2 linked regions of the Oryzias latipes genome follow. The protein of the gene in region 1 purifies or fractionates together with the protein of each later gene. This does not show direct contact. Links are inferred from orthologs where the notes say so. Each region holds a gene or a part of one and is shown on either strand. Other genes may lie near its edges.

Region 1 (4,481 bases):
TGGAAGTACAAAGAATCAGCTCATATTTATTAATAATCACCTGACTGTAATGGTTATGATGTAACTGCAAAATAACTGCAATCAGCGATGTTTGTAAGTTCCGCCAAATTTTGAAACATCATACTTCTCTCTTTCAAGTTCTGTCAGATTACTGTTTCTGTATTTGTATCAAGCTGAGTGGACATTTTAACTCTGTCTGTTTACGTTATTACACTATCAAAAGGAACAATAGGCACAACAAGCACAAATAATTATTGTAAACTAATGCACTCAAAAGGTCCAACATGAGTTTAAAGTCTCACTCCGATCATTTTTTTCATCTATTTTAAAAGCGTTCCATATTGGCTTTTTTAAAATCATGTTTTTTGGGACATAGTTTCTGCAGACCATAAGAAAATTGCCTCCAAGTTGTGGTTGGGACCATTGGCGCGGTGTAAATCCGCCACTAACTCCCAACATTCATCTGTTAACACGCTTTTTAAACAACGACCCTGAAGTTGGCTTCCGATTCACAGCTTCCGATTCGCGAAGGCACTAAAAGAACATTCCGCTGCATTTTTTGCATTAAGATCACCTTAGACCAGGTCCTGTTCAAAAACCGCTGGACCTGGACTGCTCAAACCTGGATTAAATTATAATTAAGATAGTAAAGAACACATTAAACACAGTTTCTGATTTGTGAAACCTTCTTCTGATTTGTGAAAATGTGAAATAGGTTGATTTTTTATCGCATCTTACGCACTGAGTCCACCTTAGACCAGGTCCTGTTCAAAAACCGCTGGACCTGAACTGCTCAAACCTGGATTAAATTATGCATTAGATAGTAAAGAACACATTAAACCCAGTTTCTGATTTGTGAAACCTTCCTCTGATTTGTAAAATAAGTTGATTTTTATCGCTTTTTCTCAGACAAGGTCCTGTTCATGAAATTTGGGTGGAAATGTATTTTTTTATTCCTTAACACTTTTATTTTTTATACTGCATTGTACTATTGTATTTCTCCACACAGGTACGAGCCGGTGGCCCTAACATATCACCTGGGTGACCAAAATCACTTTGTTGCAATACACAGACTTCTGCCCAGACAAAAGCTTGGACCTTTTACGATGCACTACAGGAATCCAAGAACGCTAGACAAGGCGACATCAAAATCTCAACATTCAAAAGAAACTGGGAAACAGATGTCAGATTGGACAAATAGTTATAGTCATGGTTAGCATGAACCCCTGACTTAAGTTTTGTTTTTTTGTTCAATATTTCTTGGTTTGTTTTCTGATTTACTTTAGAGTTCCTGTTACGGTGTTTTCCTTAAAGTTGTCCTTCCCTTGTCCCCATTATCCTTAAATTGCATAAAATTTGATGAAATGATACTATTTCCCACAGCGGTTTTTGAACAGGACCTGGTCTGAAGTGGACTCCGTGCGTAAAATGCGATAAAAAATCAACCTATTTCACATTTTCACAAATCAGAAACTGTGTTTAATGTGTTCTTTACTATCTAATGCATAATTTAATCCAGGTTTGAGCAGTCCAGGTCCTGCGGTTTTTGAACAGGACCTGGTCTGAAGTGGACTTAGTGCGTAAAATGTGATAAAAATCAACCTATTTAACATTTTCACAAATCAGAAACTGTGTTTAATGTGTTCTTTACTATCTTATTTATAATTTGATCCAGGTTTGAGCAGTCCAGGTCCAGGACCTGGTCTGAAGTGGACTCAGTGCGTAAAATGGTATAAAAATCAACCTATTTCACATTTTCACAAATCAGAGGAAGGTTTCACAAATCAGAAACTGGGTTTAATGTGTTCTTTACTATCGAATGCATAATTTAACCCAGGTTTGAGCAGTCCAGGTCCAGCGGTTTTTGAACAGGACCCGGTTTTACGGTGGTCTTAGTGTTTAGGGCCCTCGCGAATCGGAAGCTGTGAATCGGAAGCTAACTTCAGGGTCGTTTTTAAACAGCATTTTTCCCTTCTGCTTGTGATTCAACACGATTTGAATAAAGAAATACTCAGAAATGTCATTTTAAGCTTAATTTTCCTTAAATGTTTCACCCATCTTAAGAAAAAAGCAACGAGAAAGAAGTTCTGAAAAACAAACAAAAACTATATCTGGATTGCATTCACTTTTAAAGATATCAGCATAAGTTTAGACCGCTTACCTTGCCCTTGGACCAACCCATTCGCTCCAGCATCTTCTGGCCAAATTTAGAGTCATCTTTACTCCAAGTGCTGTTCCTGGGGTCAACCGACCACTTTTGTTTCCTTCGGGCTAAATTCACAAAAGCAGCAGCATTGTTACTCAACAGTCTGTCATTAAATAATGACAACTAGACTAGTATATAGAGCTCAAAACGCAGAGTGAATATAAAACAGTGCTGAAGATAAACATATGTAATGTGCTTTAACATTTTTTATACAAACATCATGACAAAAAATACATCTTGATTTTAATCCAAGGACAAGCAAGTGAGAATGTAGCACACACAAACGTGTAAACTACTATCCAGATCTTACAGAGAGTTCTACAAAAAAAATAATAAAATAAAAAATAGGCCACGATTATTTTTCAAAAAATAAACAGTCAAAAAGCTGATTTACAGCGTTTGCAAATCCTTCAGTGTTCGACATATTTTTCAGATACCCCTACTCTTCCTGCTACTGTAGTCAAGCTCTGTGCTTATAAGAGGCAGCCGGGCAAGTTGAAAAACAAATACAGCGATGACTGCAGTTTGACACATGTTGTAAAGTAAGAAACACGTGTTTAAAGAAACCGATGGGGGAAAATGCTAAAGCTAATGCTAACCTTGTTAACACTTTGTTAATGGCAACTCAAAAAACCGTTTATAATTTATACCGTTAGGCATGGTGCTTTGGCTAATATCACAATGAAGAAAAAAAATAAACAAAGAAAAGGAATATATACACACATGTAAGAGAAAAGTACTTACGTTCAGCTAGCATAGACATCTTGGGTCCTCAGTCTTGTGGACGCTCGAGCATTTAGGTACCTTCCAAAATGCCTGAATAAAATAAATCACTGTTGTCATTTTAAACCTTAAGTATCTGTAAATTAAATAAAATGACATTTTTGTTTACAATTTATATATAAAACAATATTCTTTGACTTTTTTATATTTAAACAAAGACTTTATCACCGAACTTTGCCTTTTACAGCCCAAATGTTTTACCAATAGAGGGCGCCACAGCACCTCAGAGTCCGGTTGGGATCTGCAGTGTTACTTGAGTTCAGCTCAAAAGTCTCAACTTCAGCAAACATGTGAACTTCTCCCACTTGGAATGCCATTCTAGGAACTTTTTCAGGTAATAAAAACACGTGAATAAGATGAATAACTGCTATCCAAACCTAAAATACGTTGTATTCTGTAAGGTCACAAAGAAAAGTGACAAATTTAGGTTGTGGAAGAGTGATTTAGGAACTAAATGACATTTTTAAACTCGGATTTTCAGTCCAAAAAACAAACAAACAGTCTCATACCCTAAAGAAAAACAAAAGATTTAAAACAATTATTTTCAAGGCATAACCAAGACATGTTTTGTGTGGTATGTTTATAAAATGTTAGTAAATTCTGTGGGTATAGGAAAAATACACTCATACTACAAAACATTTGCTCGTAGGTCACAGTCAACATTGCATTGGCCAGAGAATAAATGTACTTTTGCGTGAGGATCAGCACCATAACATGTTATTTTAGCCTTATCTATTACAACTGATCATAACAACTTATAATAGCAAACTTTATATTATCTCATAAATGGATAAAACAGTCTGCAAGACAAGAAATAAAAATTTAAACAAAGTAGGATTGCAATAAATGTCAGACAGGCATTCACTGTATAAACTTTGTGCATTCAAAGAAATTGTAGTTTACTTAAAAAACAATACTAATTGTTTGTGATTGGCTGCGGTTTGTAAGGAGGCAGATTCATGTTAGCTGTTAAAAAAAGAAAAAAAGAACATATTAAAAAAAATGTTGCAGCTAAACACACAAGGGAAATGAAAAAGCATAAAACAGAAATGAGCTCAAATTTGTTCCTCAGCATGTTTCTGTAGTAAACATATGGGGTTATTCTAATATTTCTGTTAAGTTTACAATGTGTACTTTGGTTTAAAGCTGTTTTCCTTTTTTTTAATTCACAATGTCTATTTTCCACATTTACAATCTGGTTTTTCATTCACTGTAACCTGATTCTGATTTGACCCAGCGTAAATGGAGAAAAAGTACCAGTAGGTTTTTTTCAACACTAGAAGCAGAGACCACAGCATAACTCAGCATTTTCCAAGCTTGAAATACAAATGCTTCAATTCAAAAAAAAATATTTGAAATGTTTTCTTTTAGTAGAAATAAAGAGCTCCATAATATGCAAAAACAACTAGGCTTTTTTATGACTACTACCCATTATTCTATTTTTACATCCACTGTACTATTTACATCAAATCAAAGATTTGCAGAATATAGA
Region 2 (3,818 bases), on another chromosome or scaffold:
TTTTTCTGATCAGAGGACAAACACTATAGTACCAAAAGTATCCGCTCACCTGCCTTGATTACATATGAACTGAGTCTGCATGACTGAGGGCTTAATGTAAGACACCTGTGACCAGAAGAAGTGATGAGGACACCTGATCATTTGGATGGATGAGCCAATACTTTTGGTAAAATAGTGTATATAGAGTAGATTAAGCTCAAAATTGCACTTGTCAGTATTTCTTTATTCAAATCATTGTGAATAAGGAGCAGATGAAAAATGCCTTTGAAACAGCTTCTAGTTGTAACAAAATAAGTTCTAGTAATCTACAATCGGTGGTCCAAAGTCTTCCTTCTCCATTCTGATCGTCCACCATCAGACAAACGGATCCATGAACGTCTTTGTTTTCCTGGTCTGAGCTGGTATCTGGATCAGAATTGAATGGCTGGATAGCTACGATGTTGATCACCATTTTTGTTTCACAGTAATGTTAGGTTGGAATTTTGATGTGCTGGAAGGTAGCAGTGTGAAAACAGAGAGCTCTCAGCAGCAGGGAGGGGAGGGGAGGGGAAGGGAGGGTGTGGTTGCTTTATGCCAACGGTCCCGTCCACAAATCAGAGGTGAATTTCTACTGAATTCCTGCTGCTCTGCAGAAACTATGTCCTAGAAAACAACAGAAATGTTTGATTTTGGCTAAAAGTGGCGTCATCCTAACTAAAAGACCACTGGGAACGCTCTGAAAATAGATGGGATCGGACTTTAAAACTGTTTATGTCTCTCTTTTGCTCATTTAAAGACTTTTTCAAAGTCCAATCCTTTGTTCAAATAAAGTCTTTTGGTGTTTAGCGTCTCAGAACATGCAGGTGTTTCAGCCTTTGGTCTGCAGACCTGCAGCCTCCTCTGTGTCCGCTCTGTCCAGGTTCCATGTCTGTGTTCAGAGTTTACCCTTCGCCCAGACGGTCGCAAAGAACCCAACGTACTTCCAGCAGATGATCTGGGACATGGCGCACTATGCCAACGCTCTCATCAGGCGCAGCAACACAGGTACTTTACTTTATTCTCTTTTCCAGCTCAAAGAAACGGTCTGTTAGTCATTTTAATGGTTGGTTTGTTAGAATAATAAAACAAGAAACAGCAAATCTAGAAAAACCCATGCAGAGCGGAGGAAGATGAGTGAATCCAGGTGAGTTTCTCATCTCAGGCTCACTTGAACTCAAGCAGTCAGTCAGATTCCAGACTCTCCACCATGACTATGATCACAGGGAGGTTCAGAAAAGCCTGGAACAAACCACCAAACCTTTGGTTTGAAGAACCAAGAAGAAGCCGTTAAGATCCTTAGATCTCCTGGTGCTTCGACAATAAGTGTGACTGCAAACCAGAACGTCAGTGTTGCATCACAGCTTCACCTATTAAGATGTGGATCAGTTTAGTGTTTTTGTCTTTTATGGCTCAGAGAAACCCCGAACAGAAGGTTGGAGCCCTGTCTCCTCTGCCAGGTTGTGTGCTCAGCTTCCCCTCTCTCCTCCAGGGTTGGTTTTGGGGGATGGAGCTCAGAAGGGCAGCGTTCAGTACGAGGCCGTGGAGCTGCTCTTCTGTCTGGCCTTCCTGCGGGTTCTGTCTAAACACCGACCCGTCTACAAAGACCTGCTGCCACGCCTGCACAAATGTGGGTGTTCCACCAAGCACTAAGTATAAAAATGAAAGTCACTCAACACCTGAACGAAATATTCTAAGACTTTTAACACTTCAAATCATCAGCTGAATATGCAGAAGACAAAACTTGGCAGCGTTTTGAGAATTTTAGCAGATCATTTTGACCTTTCAAAGGTTTGATCAGCCAAAGGCTTTCACTGCTCTTGAACCGTTTTTCTGATGATGGAGGACATATGTTAAGAAGATGAAGGTCAAAAATGTAGTTCTGAGTATTTCTTTATTCAGATTGCATTAAACCAGGAGCAGATAAAAAATGTCGTTTAAAAAAGACCATATTTGTGAAGAAGAAAATACGCTGGGCAGCCTCAAGCTTCCTGCTCTGCTCCATTCTGATCATCCTCTGTCAGACCAACAGATCCATGTTTGTCTTTGTTTTCCTGGTCTGAGCTGATCTGGATCTAAACTGTACGACTGGATAGATCTGATACTGCTTAACACGTTTGGTGCCCTGCTAATGTTAGGTTGGGGGTGAGAGAGGCTGTAAGCCAGCAGGTGAGCGTGTAAACAAAGAGCTCTCAGCAATGGGAGAGGAAGGGGGTGGGCTTGCTCTGTGCACAACTCAGAGGTGGGTGAATTTCTAAAGAACTGCTGCTGCTCTGCAGAAACTATGTCCTAGAAAATGACTCGGCTTTTAAAAAATTTTGTCCAAAAATGACAATCACGATTTAAAGACCACTGGGAACGCTTTAACAATAGATGAAGAGACGATTAGAGGGGATCTTTGAGTTCTTTATTCAATCCCGTGTTTGAATTCAGGAGGATTCTTTTAGAACATTTCTTTTCTCTGAATGTGGGTTTAGAAGCTTTGGCACTATTGATGAATATCATGACAAAGCTGCTCGCTGAGAATGGATCAGGACTCTGTTTACTGAACTTGTTTCTTCATAAAACATCTGTCCTCAGGAGACAGAGAGGTTTGCTGAGCTGATGGAGAATCTGAAATCTCCTGGATGAGGCTGGGTTTTGCCTGAAGGTGGCATCAGCTGAGAGGCGTACAGGAATATCCGTGATGCAGTCGAGCATGAACTCTGGCGTTGGGTTTTTATGGTCAGAACTGCAGCACGGCTGTTACAGAAAGACCAAACATGAAAACACAGGAACTTTCCTGGAATACATCTTCTCTTAAAGGTGGATGCTGTGATGGCTGTATCCACGCTGGCCAATCTGAATGTTTTCAGGTGTATTTAGCAGTTTTATAACCAGCTGTTATGGGATTTTACAGCTCAGATGGGTGGATTTTACAGTTCGGAGATGAACTGTAATATCTCAATATCTGCTTTCACCCTCTGGACAGGGAAGCGCCGGTTGGAGAGGCTTCTGGGAGACCTGAGGCTGGCTAGGGTCCGGCAGGCCGCCAACCCCCGGGCTCTGCTGGACTTCCTGGCTATGCAGATGTGAGTCCACAGGTAAAAGCAGCCACAGGAACGGAAATGTGTGGGCAGTTTGACAGCATGGCTTTCACATGAGGATTTATTTTGTTAAAGTGATTAAAAGAAAAGAAAATGGAAGCAAAACGTTGTAATTTTTCTCTCAGATTGACATGATGAACATTCAAGGCTTTTGTTTAAACGAGCAAATGGAATCTTACGTGTTCTGTAAAGCACAGTAAATATGTTTTGGTCATCTCTTAAAAACCACTTAAGCGATAAAACCCGGTGATAAACCGGTGTCGTAAAACAAGCTCAAGTTGATGAATGAAAAACTTGAGAAGAATCCAGCTTCTGACATGGAGCCTGGCTCATTCCTCAGACGCCTGTATCTCTGGACTTTGATTCACTCGCTGCGGTAGTTTTCCACAAAGAAGATATGGTTAGGCTTTAAAAATAACTTGTCTGTAAATATGTGCACGGAAACGTCATCAGCCTCCAGGGATTTCTTTTACTGTCACAAGTACACAAACAAAGTGCAGCCAAGTGAAATAAAAAACCCTGATGTTTGAGGTTTAGCATTGAAACCAGCAGGATTGTTTTTCTCAGCTGAAATGCATGACGAGAAGAGACGTTTGACAGGTTCAAGCCTTTGGATTCCTCTGTTCCTGTACTTCAATCTGAAAGGTGCTGTTGTCGTAGGGGTTTAGGTCAACTGCAGCTGACGACCTTTTGACTCTTGAGCAGATCAGTCTGACC

The links.
Region 2: the proteins of pinx1 (region 1) and tert purify together in Homo sapiens (co-immunoprecipitation; 3 studies listed by BioGRID and IntAct, with this or other methods). This does not show direct contact. The link is inferred for Oryzias latipes from reciprocal best matches to the Homo sapiens genes PINX1 and TERT.

What each region holds. Positions count from the first base shown.
Region 1 is NC_019882.2:13,955,478-13,959,958, forward strand, and holds the start of pinx1 (PIN2/TERF1-interacting telomerase inhibitor 1), read right to left. Parts: upstream 3,023-4,481; 5' UTR 2,970-3,022; coding exon 2,951-2,969; intron 2,272-2,950; coding exon 2,162-2,271; intron 1-2,161. UniProt on the Homo sapiens protein: Microtubule-binding protein essential for faithful chromosome segregation. Mediates TRF1 and TERT accumulation in nucleolus and enhances TRF1 binding to telomeres. Inhibits telomerase activity. May inhibit cell proliferation and act as tumor suppressor.
Region 2 is NC_019869.2:25,694,831-25,698,648, reverse strand, and holds part of tert (telomerase reverse transcriptase), read left to right. Parts: intron 1-898; coding exon 899-1,023; intron 1,024-1,507; coding exon 1,508-1,645; intron 1,646-2,986; coding exon 2,987-3,090; 3' UTR 3,091-3,098; exon of another isoform or gene 3,099-3,703; coding exon of another isoform or gene 3,704-3,818. Other genes in the region: sodium-dependent neutral amino acid transporter B(0)AT3, read right to left, coding at 3,704-3,818. UniProt on the Homo sapiens protein: Telomerase is a ribonucleoprotein enzyme essential for the replication of chromosome termini in most eukaryotes. Active in progenitor and cancer cells. Inactive, or very low activity, in normal somatic cells.